Linked DNA regions of Arabidopsis thaliana. The protein of the gene in region 1 interacts with the protein of each later gene in a pairwise test. Each region holds a gene or a part of one and is shown in the gene's direction. Other genes may lie near its edges.

Region 1 (3,757 bases):
ACAAAAAAAGGAAATAATGAGACTGAATATAGATATCTGAAAGGAAAAAGATGGATCTTACGTCCTTAACTCCAACACTTCTGAGAGAATTTCCAAGTTTCATGACAATGTCGTAGACTTCTTGGTATGTTTGCCAGACATACTTACCCGGCTAAGAACAATCAAAATAACAAGTGAATTTTATAATAACATGAAACGAAAATCACAAAATCAAAATCAATAACAAACAGTAACAACACCTTTCCATCTACAATCTCGCGGCGTCCCAGCATTGGATTGTTTGGATACTTCTCAACAGACATGCTGCAATAAACAATAACAGTAGAAAAATGTAAGTCAACAACCACAAAATATCACCAAACCACACACAAAGCAAAACAAAAAATGTCAACCAAATTCATGCAACTGTTAATTAATCACATGCCACTCAAAACGATGTTATTATAGACAAATGGCAAAATCATTAACCAACAAATTATATTTCTATCGATTAGAGCAACTTAGGTAGATCTTGCGATCCGAAAAACTTAAACAAACATGAATCAAATCCAGATAAACACTAGACGAAATTAAACTATACGATTCTTACTACTTGAGAATCCATAAAGAGCAAAAAACGCAAGTCAGAACAAATTCCATGATCAGTCAACAGATCAAGGATCAAAATCTCAGCAAGAATCGGAAACGAGGCTCATGCAACACAAACTCCGATCGGTTAAACGAGAAATCTCACCGGAAAACATCCCAACAACTATCCATTCCTTCGATCGGGTCGGGAAATCCGTCCTTGGCAAAGATACTCCGGTACACTGGACCAACTGATGGTCTTCCATCGCTACCTTCTTTGCCTTCTTCAACTTGGAAGATGTATTTCTTCTGCTGCGACATGATCTCTCTCTCTCTCTCTCTACTTCGTTCTCGTTCTCTTCTCTCTCTATCTGTAGAACGAGAAACTTCTGACGCGTTTTCTCAGATCGGAGAAGAAGTTAATAGAGACTTTCAACTACGACTGCGATTGGTTGCTACTCACTGACCATAAACCTGAAAAAGTCAAAGTCATATTCAACCTCTTATTGGGCCGTATACGTATCATCATATTAGGCCCAATAAAGTCATATTATCCAAATTGAAATTTATATTAGCCAATATTTAGATTTTATAATTAAGATGTCAAGAAACAAAACAAAAAGTGTGTGATTTTGATTTAAATAACTTTAGATTTTATCAATATTTTATCCCCCAATTTAATTTTTTTTTTAGAGGTTATCAATTAATCTACGATAATTAAAAATATGCTTATTACTCTATTAGTATGTGTGTTTGTGGATAGATTTGACTAGTTGCACACAGATATGATATTTGTTAAACATTAGTTATCAAAACAAAAAAATAAATATAAATTTTCAATTCATAAAAAACCATATAAGCAAGAATTTGAGATTTTGATATCCGTTTAATCTCGATACAAATTAATATTAACATGTACATTATCAAGTAACAATACTTATCTTGTGCTTATGCTTAGTTGCTGATAGTGGAGGGAAAAGGGTAATAGAATTGGAGGGTTAATGGCGGGAAAATGTCGATAAAGTCCCTTCCTTTATATAACATACATAAATTTTCTCGCATTTAAGAATTTTAACATCCGCTAGATCCTTCTTTCTTCCAAACCCTTAAGCTCCACCTTCGTTTTCCCCAATTTCTCTCTCTCTCTGCCTTCGTTTATCTATGTCTTGAAAAGTGAAAAGCTTTAGGGCTTTTACAAGTCTGAGAACTCCATCAATAACCTGGTAATGGTCCGATTGACATGTTTGATGTTTTGCGAATAATCTAGGGTTTCATTTTTTTTAAGGAATTTAGGGAATATCTCGTTTGAGTCTTTCGAATAGCTTTTATTTTACCCAATTTCATGTTTTTAGTAGTGAATTCAGGTGGGAATTTGTGAAGAATAATTGCGACAATGGCATCTGGTGTTTTCGAGGATGAAGCTGAAGGAACTATAACGATCAATGAATATATCGAAAGGCTTGACGCAGAAGAGCTGGTAATGTTCTCTTTCTCCTCTTGATCAGTTTTAAAGCTTATGTATGTTTCTGATCCTTACGAAAGTTTAATACTCTTCCACATTTTCACTCCTTGGTTGGTGATAAATCGTTTAGATTTAAGTGTAAACAAACGTCTTGAAATTGGATTCTGACCTTAAATTGACTACCTTTTCTGAAGCTAGTGGAGTGTGTTGGATTGTTATTGTACAGTCTCTGAGGTTTTGGCTAGCTAGTAATGATAGTGTGTGTCTCTTAATTAGTTTCTATTAATTTCAGTAGTGTGTATCTGTTTCTGTAATCCTATGTTATTTGGGTTTAGGGGTTTAATATTCATTAACTGCTTTTGTGATTCTTGATGTTAAGGCAGCGGATTTGGTGTTGGGTGGAGATGAAGGAGATGAGTGTACTTTCCCAAAGGGTTACATGAAAAGGCAAGCAATTTTCTCATGCATTACATGTACACCAGAGGGGAATGCTGGAATTTGCACTGCTTGTTGCTTATCTTGTCATGATGGCCATGAGGTAAATATGGTTGATATATAGCCAGGTTATGTATTTTGAAATCTGATTTCATAGTGTTAATTGGTTTCCTAATGGTTGAACATTGTTCTGGTTATGAAGCTTTTGGAGCTGTGGACTAAGAGAAATTTTCGATGTGATTGCGGGAACTCAAAGTTTGGAACTTTGGCTTGTAAGCTTCTCCCGAGCAAAGATATAGAAAACTCTGAAAATTCTTACAACCATAATTTCAAAGGCTTGTACTGCACTTGCGACCGACCTTACCCTGACCCAAATGTGGAAGAACAAGTAGAGATGATTCAGTGTTGTCTCTGTGAGGATTGGTTTCATGAGGAGCATCTCGGTCTCACACCTTCAGACAGTGTTGGTAGCCAGGTTTGTGGCCAGTGCTTAATCTTGTTGTTTACGATTGATTTTTTTTGTTGTTGGCGCTTAGTGCAATTTGTTATGTGATGTTAACAGATTCCAAGGGATGAGGAAAGTGAGCCGATCTATGAAGATTTCATTTGTCAAAACTGCTCCCCAGCATGTTCGTTTCTGACACTTTATCCTGAGAACTTGTGGGTTGTTGCTAAAGTAGATTCCACTGGTTCTGCTAATGCTTGTTCAGAGACAATTGAGTTAGACAAAAACCACATGGATTCTGAACCCGGCCAGCCAGAGAACGGTACTGATGCTGAGAAATCTGTTGTAGGAAAATGTTCTGAGACGATCAGTGACTCAGAACCTGGCCAGCCTGAGAACGGCACTGAAGCCGAGAAATCTGTTGTGCAAAAATGTTCTGAGAAGATCGATGAATCTGAAGCCGGCCAGCCTGAGAACAGTACTGAAGCCGAGAAATTCGTTGTGCGGAAATGTTCTGAGAAGATCGATGGCTCTGAAAATGTTCCTGCAGCTGGTTGTGTTATTAGGACTGATCTAAACTCGTGTCCTGAGTTTGAGAAGAAACCTTTGTTTTTGACCAAAAACTGGAGGAACATCCTATGCAGATGCGAAAAGTGCCTTGAGATGTATAAGCAGAGAAAGGTAAGCTATCTACTTGATGCAGAGGACACAATTGTTGAATACGAGAAGAAGGCGAAGGAAAAAAGAACAGAGAAACTGGAGAAACAAGAAGGTGAAGCACTTGATCTTCTGAATAATCTAGACCACGTATCCAAAGTTGAGCTCCTTCACGGAATCAAAGACTTCCA
Region 2 (3,519 bases), 2.5 Mb from region 1:
TGATGGGCGGCCAAAGGTCGTCGTCCGGGAGAAGCGGTCGTTTGATAGCTGCAAAAGGATTCTCTTTGCTCCCAAAAAGCTTCGCTGGCAAAACGTCATTGTTTGCTTCTCCCTTAATCTATCTTTCCTTTATTCTCAACTTCAATACAATAATATAGTTATATACATACAAACGTTTTGACCCAATGAGATATACAAGTACCAACATTGGTATATATGTTTAACTCGGAGATGCATATTATCGGGTTAAGCTTTTTTCAACATCGTTCGTCTAATGTTTGTGATGGATAAACTCGAAAAATTATATATGCTTATAATTAACTTATGATATTAAAATGACTGGAATTATTGAAACTTTTAACCCAATTTTAATTAGCACTTAAATTTGTACACTCATTGTCAATTAATTTTGGATTAAAATCATATAGTGTTCCTATAAACAAACATATTTTATCACTGATCATGATGAAGTTTTTTTCGCATTTTAAACAAAAATAAAATAAAAAGAGCGTTAAAAGGCCTAAATTACGTACTTGTCCAACGGCCCATTGAAAGCAAACGCAAGGATCCATAATGACCTTTATTTGGGCTGAGATTTATCATTGTACTGTAATTTGACTATTTTCCAAGGAAAATTAAGTCCCTTTTTATGTTTTTATTTATTTGAAAAACATGACAAAACAAATGCAATCCACATGGTCCAACGAAAGAGCGATCTAGTTGAAATCTAACTAAGTTCCCAACGAAACCACTGTTAATGTAACTTTACATGGCAAATATCTTTCGGATATCAAGGCCCATCACTTTCAGCTCTTCTGTTTTTCATTTTTTTCCCAAAATTTGTATTGTTTAATATTCCTAGATTTCAAATTGTAATAAAATTTTCATTTGGCATAAGAAAAAAAAATAATATCTTTTTCTACATAGAAAATAATATATATAATATGAGTTCATACACCATACATGTGTGTCTATATACATATATATAGTTTTGTAATGTATGTATATCTCGAATTGTAGCCATATGTAGGATGATTATCTAAAATATATGGTCATAATGTCACAGTGTAAAGCTACTCTAGTCATTTGTCAGATTCTAACAAGAGAATCTTAGTAATGATCACGCAAAGCTAAGATCTTTGCTTCACCATTTAAAGCAAACAAACTTTGTCTTAACCTTACATAGGACATCAAAGTCACAACCAACTTTTTCCTCTGTAAATCTTCACCTATTTATATAAAATGCACACTATTTTTTTATTTATAATTGGGCTTCCTATATTAATTAAATGCATAGCAATCTATGATTTAATGTCTTTTTGTAACAAAGTACCAACGAAGATAGAAGAACACACCTAAAAGTGTAGAGTTCTATAAAGACGTAAAGTTTATGTAAATTTCTGAAAGTAGCTAAATATATGTAAGTAATTAATAGAAAATGAGATTTCATTTTTACTTTTCTAACATATATAAGTTACTAAAATATGTTTGCACTGGATTTAATAGAAAGAAAGTATATTATATTTGCAAATTTTGAATTATACATGTGATAATCAAAATGTGTGTGCTCTTACACTCAGTAAAATTTATTATGGTAAAATTTCTTTCATTTACTGAAAATGATATTTTGAAGATAAGTGACCTATCTATGTATATATTTCGGGTCCATCTTTATATTTATTATTGAATTTACATCATTATCCACCAACCCCATCTTCTTCTTATTCTTCATCTTCTACTGAGATTTCTCTTTTTTTTTCAAAAAAAACTCATCCTTGAATGAACGGTGGTGCATGGATGTGGAACCCTAACAAAATTGAAGAATTGGAGGATGATGATGAATCTTGGGAAGTCAAAGCCTTTGAGCAAGACACTAAAGGCAACATCTCTGGTACCACTTGGCCTCCAAGATCTTACACTTGCAATTTCTGCCGCCGTGAGTTCCGTTCTGCTCAAGCCTTAGGCGGTCACATGAATGTCCACCGCCGTGACCGCGCCTCATCTAGGGCTCATCAAGGTTCCACCGTTGCGGCTGCGGCTAGAAGCGGCCACGGGGGGATGTTACTCAATTCTTGTGCTCCGCCGTTGCCTACAACGACACTTATAATACAATCCACGGCGAGTAACATTGAAGGTTTGTCCCATTTCTACCAACTGCAAAACCCTAGTGGCATTTTTGGTAATTCTGGTGACATGGTGAATCTTTATGGTACGACTTCGTTTCCTCCGAGCAACCTTCCGTTTTCAATGTTGAATTCTCCAGTAGAAGTTCCTCCTCGGCTTATTGAATATTCGACAGGAGATGATGAGAGCATTGGCTCGATGAAAGAAGCGACAGGAACATCAGTGGATGAGCTTGATCTTGAACTTCGGCTAGGGCACCATCCACCGTGACATTTCATTTTCATGACCCACTCGAGGCTTTCACATTAATATCTATTCATACACAGGTTCTTTAAATCTTAATTTACATGTTGTTGTTAAATTCTGAATTCAATTTGGCTTGAATTGTGTATCACAATTAAATTCATTCGATTTCATGCTTTGGTTCCTTGATTTCAGAGCGTAAGTTTACAAGTATATGTTTACTTAATTTGATTGGTTAGATCGAAATATATACAATGAACCCTGCATTATATGATTTGTATATACTTATATTAAATTTCATCTCAGAAATCCCATAGAACCCATATATGTATTGATTACTATTGCTTTTTATATATTCTGTCTTTATCATTACTTGGTTTAGTAATGATTTTCTTGAAAAGTAACAAGGCTCTTTGAATTCAAATTTCCGTTTGATGGAGAAAATTTACAATTAACGAACATTATCAGTAGTTTGTTTCAAATGCTCAAAACTTTCAAATTATTAAAAGCGTCTACACATTTAAAAAAAAAAAAAAAAACCATTCCTCAACAGAAGATAAGAAGCCAATATTTTTTTACATATTTCGTAGAAGGCAAATTTGTTCTTACTATTTCCATATGCTTTAGGGTTTTGGAGTATTGGAATGATGAAGAGATATGCGTTGAACTGAGTTTTAATTTATTCCATTCGTTTTATACTTCTATTACTCCATGTCATGTTAAGTAGTTTGTACATGCATTATTTTGATTTAGTTTCTGATTAAATATTTAACTATATATCTTTTTTGAACGATTTATGGATATCTTGTCATAATTAGTTTTCTAATGCTCAGGCGACTCAGAAGTATCATTCGTGACAGAGAATCTGGTTTTTCTTTTTCTAACTAAAGTTCTCTAATATATCTGATATTTAATGCCTTTTTTATCACGATGTAGGGGAGAAACTTGAATTAATCCTGGTCTTATCCCCGACTTTAGCTAAGAGATCAATTCAAAAACTTGATTGAATAAGTTCTTGTAAGTTTATGCATTTCACAAATAATATGTGATGTACGTTGCTTCTACAATAAGGGTGTAACTATATATCTCGATATTAAATACTTTCAATTCAGTCTAATTCTAAAAAATACGTAGAACAAAGAAACGTCACAA
Region 3 (3,757 bases), on another chromosome or scaffold:
ACAATCCAAAGTTAATGATAGTATTAGTCACCTTACTTGGCTATGTTATTGGAAATTTTATTAGGAATGTGGAGCAGAACAGTGTATGTGCCACGGTCAGAAACTTCAGGGACTGAGACACCAGGACCAGATTTTTGGTCATGGACACCTCCTCAAGGTAGTGAAATTAGTTCTGTGGACTTGCAGGCTGTGGAAAAGCCTGCTGAGTTTCCAACTTTGCCAAATCCTGTATTGGAGAAAGATAAATCAGCGGATTCTCTTTCGATACCATATGAGAGTATGCTTTCTTCTGAAAGACATAGCTTTACTATCCCGCCTTTTGAGTCTTTGATTGAGGTTCGAAAAGAGGCTGAGACGAAGCCTAGCTCCGAGACTTTATCGACAGAACATGACCTTGATCTCATATCTTCAGCAAACGCGGAAGAAGTAGCTCGTGTTCTTGATAGTTTGGATGAATCTTCAACGCATGGAGTTAGCGAAGATGGATTGAAGTGGTGGAAGCAAACGGGTGTGGAGAAAAGACCTGATGGTGTGGTTTGCAGGTGGACAATGATACGTGGGGTTACTGCTGATGGTGTTGTTGAGTGGCAAGATAAGTATTGGGAGGCTTCTGATGATTTTGGGTTCAAGGAACTTGGTTCTGAGAAATCAGGACGTGATGCCACTGGAAACGTGTGGCGTGAGTTCTGGAGAGAGTCAATGAGCCAGGTTAGTGTAAAGTAGTTGCCGTAGTAAATCTAACGCACTATAGACTATTTGAGACTTAATTTGAATTGTCTATTACAGGAGAATGGTGTTGTGCATATGGAGAAAACTGCAGACAAATGGGGAAAGAGTGGACAAGGTGATGAATGGCAAGAGAAATGGTGGGAGCATTACGATGCTACCGGAAAATCAGAAAAATGGGCTCATAAGTGGTGCAGCATTGACCGCAACACGCCTCTTGACGCTGGCCACGCTCATGTCTGGCACGAGAGGTATTCTCAAAATCCTCTTTTCACATAACGAAACACTAATAACATAATCGAATCTTTATCCTTTAACTTTCAGTCCTTAAAATATCAATCAATCTCTTTAACACAAGTTAGAATGTTTGTCCTTTAACTTTTACACCTTATATTGTTGAACATCAAATCAGTTCAGTAGCAAAACATTGCCTTTTCATACTCTTTAAGGTGCTCTATTAACATTTAGAAGCTTAGTCTGCGAGCTTTGTTGAACTGTTATCAAAACAGAACTGACACTAGACAAGCTGTGACCAAATAACAGGGAATGTAGAGTGTTTCTAAATATGTCTTGATTGGTTTTGACCAGGTGGGGAGAGAAGTATGACGGGCAAGGCGGAAGCACAAAGTACACAGACAAGTGGGCGGAACGGTGGGTAGGTGACGGTTGGGACAAATGGGGAGACAAATGGGACGAGAACTTTAACCCGAGCGCTCAAGGAGTGAAACAAGGTGAGACTTGGTGGGAAGGGAAGCACGGCGACAGATGGAACCGAAGCTGGGGAGAAGGTCACAACGGATCAGGATGGGTTCACAAATACGGAAAAAGCAGCAGCGGTGAACACTGGGACACACATGTACCACAAGAAACTTGGTATGAGAAGTTCCCTCACTTTGGCTTCTTCCACTGTTTTGACAACTCTGTTCAGCTCCGAGCCGTTAAGAAGCCTTCTGATATGTCCTAGATATATCAAATACTAAGCATAAAATATATAAATAAGCTGGGACAATCAAAGAATTGGCCTACAATATTAGAGTAGTTTGATCAAGTGCAATGTATGTAATATTTATTATGACTTCTAATTTGTTCTATGCTTTGGTGTTTCTTAATGAGTATGGCCAAAGTTTATTTGGTAGTTACTAATATAACACAAATCTGATTAGAAAACTGGAACACATTCCATTCCAGGAGCATAAAGTTATATGAACAGATAATCTAAACTCTTTATTTGGTAAAGATAAGAAGACAAATATTTTCTGTAACCAATAATAATCTTCAGTTACATTTGTATTAAATTCTAATAAAAAAAATATACAGAGGACAAGCCAAAGTGGAACCCCACCCACTGTCTTCTCAAAGATTAAAAAAAAGAAAAGGATTTTACCCAAAATCTCCGATATTCTTATTCCTTTGCTGTATCATCTTCTTCTTCTACTTCGTCCTCATCATCGTCACATAGATCCTCCTTTTTCGTTAATTGGGGAGAGATATACGTAACAGCTCTTCTCTCTACAAAGAAGTTGACTTTTGCATCCTTACATCTCTCAAATCTTTCTCTGGTTAATCTGTATTCGTGTATTTTTGCAGTTTCTTTTGAGGATCAGATCGTGACAGGGTTTAGCTCAAGGAGAGGTATTAGATCCGTACTTTGTGATAAACTTTCTCAAGGTTTACGATCTCATTCTATCTAGATCGGCTTCGTATAGATACAATCTTGTTTCAATTAGCAATGGATCGATTTTGTTATTCGAATATTTAGAAAAAGGAAAGATTTTTCCAAAGGGGTTTCCTCTTATACCATTTTTTCTGGGTTTTTTGAAATTTAGGGTGAGAAAAAGAAGAAGAAGGTGAGAAAAGTGAAGGCAAGGCTTTGAGGATGTCTTTTACAGGAACTCAACAGAAATGCAAGGCTTGTGAGAAGACTGTTTATGCTGTTGAGCTTCTCTCTGCTGATGGAGTTGGATATCACAAGTCTTGCTTCAAATGCACTCACTGCAAAAGCAGGCTTCAGGTCTGATTCTCTCATCTTTGTATTCATGTTAACGATGCTGCTTTAATTAGAGGAATGAGTTTACGAATTACCCATCTTCTTGCTTAAATGATGAATTGAATGTCTATTGTAACCATAAGCAGCTCTTGATAAAGTAAATGTCTTTTTACAGCTGAGTAGTTACTCATCAATGGAAGGTGTTTTGTACTGTAAGCCTCATTTTGAGCAGCTCTTTAAGGAGAGTGGTAGTTTCAACAAGAACTTTCAGTCACGTATGTAGTTTTGTTTCTGCTTCGATTCATGTTTTTTTTCCGCTTGCCCTTCTTTTGGTTATTGATTTAATCAGTCTTGCAACTTTGTTTCCTCACAGCTGCAAAATCGGCTGACAAATCAACTCCTGAGCTGGTAAATGTTTCTTTTCTGGTTTGGTCAGATGCTCTTTGGATACATTTTCTGATTGAACTTTTCTCTTATATTTCCTTCTTGGTTTGTTTTCAGACAAGGACGCCTAGCCGAGTTGCTGGCAGGTTCTCTGGTACACAAGAGAAATGCGCCACTTGTAGTAAAACTGTGTATCCTATTGAAAAGGTTATAACTCGTTTAATCTTTCATTGCTCTTCCTTCACTCATGCATTTTCCATTAACTGAAGCTTTGGAATCACCTTTCTGCACTCTAAGGTCTATGTTGGAGTATTACTCTAAAACACAGTTCCATCATTTGCAAGAATTCTCCTGTGTTTTCTATTTCATGTTGAGGATAGATACATAATCCCCTCAGTTACCGAGAACTTGCAAGGAAACCAAATGTTTTGCACAGATGCATAGACCCTGGAGATATCGGTTCTTGTTACTTTAATTTGCATGTTAAACCTATAAAGGAGACTTAATATGAAAACTCTTTATGGGATTTTTAAAAGCTATTTGGTCACAAATATCCGTCTTTTTCGATTCTGAAATATGCAGGTAACAGTCGAGAGCCAGACATATCACAAGTCCTGCTTCAAGTGCTCACATGGAGGTTGCCCAATTTCACCTTCCAAC

Evidence for each region.
Region 2: the proteins of AT4G23860 (region 1) and AT4G17810 interact in a two-hybrid assay, tested with the Arabidopsis thaliana proteins (one large-scale study listed by BioGRID).
Region 3: the proteins of AT4G23860 (region 1) and WLIM2b interact in a two-hybrid assay, tested with the Arabidopsis thaliana proteins (one large-scale study listed by BioGRID).

Annotation. Positions count from the first base shown.
Region 1 is NC_003075.7:12,407,376-12,411,132, forward strand, and holds the start of AT4G23860 (PHD finger protein-like protein), read left to right. Parts: upstream 1-1,631; 5' UTR 1,632-1,790; intron 1,791-1,919; exon of another isoform or gene 1,920-1,922; 5' UTR 1,923-1,960; coding exon 1,961-2,044; intron 2,045-2,158; exon of another isoform or gene 2,159-2,408; coding exon 2,409-2,567; intron 2,568-2,666; coding exon 2,667-2,939; intron 2,940-3,026; coding exon 3,027-3,757. Other genes in the region: LACS4 (AMP-dependent synthetase and ligase family protein), read right to left, coding at 62-151, 240-303, 734-888.
Region 2 is NC_003075.7:9,905,139-9,908,657, forward strand, and holds AT4G17810 (C2H2 and C2HC zinc fingers superfamily protein), read left to right. Parts: upstream 1-1,682; 5' UTR 1,683-1,779; coding exon 1,780-2,394; 3' UTR 2,395-2,889; downstream 2,890-3,519.
Region 3 is NC_003074.8:20,701,197-20,704,953, forward strand, and holds the start of WLIM2b (GATA type zinc finger transcription factor family protein), read left to right. Parts: upstream 1-2,025; 5' UTR 2,026-2,219; exon of another isoform or gene 2,220-2,313; 5' UTR 2,314-2,358; exon of another isoform or gene 2,359-2,394; intron 2,395-2,552; 5' UTR 2,553-2,602; coding exon 2,603-2,737; intron 2,738-2,888; coding exon 2,889-2,988; intron 2,989-3,086; coding exon 3,087-3,121; intron 3,122-3,214; coding exon 3,215-3,304; coding exon of another isoform or gene 3,305-3,364; exon of another isoform or gene 3,365-3,477; coding exon 3,478-3,579; exon of another isoform or gene 3,580-3,679; coding exon 3,680-3,757. Other genes in the region: AT3G55760 (uncharacterized protein), read left to right, coding at 65-708, 787-977, 1,315-1,690. UniProt on the Arabidopsis thaliana protein: Binds to actin filaments and promotes cross-linking into thick bundles. Has an actin-stabilizing activity. The actin regulatory activities are not regulated by pH and [Ca(2+)].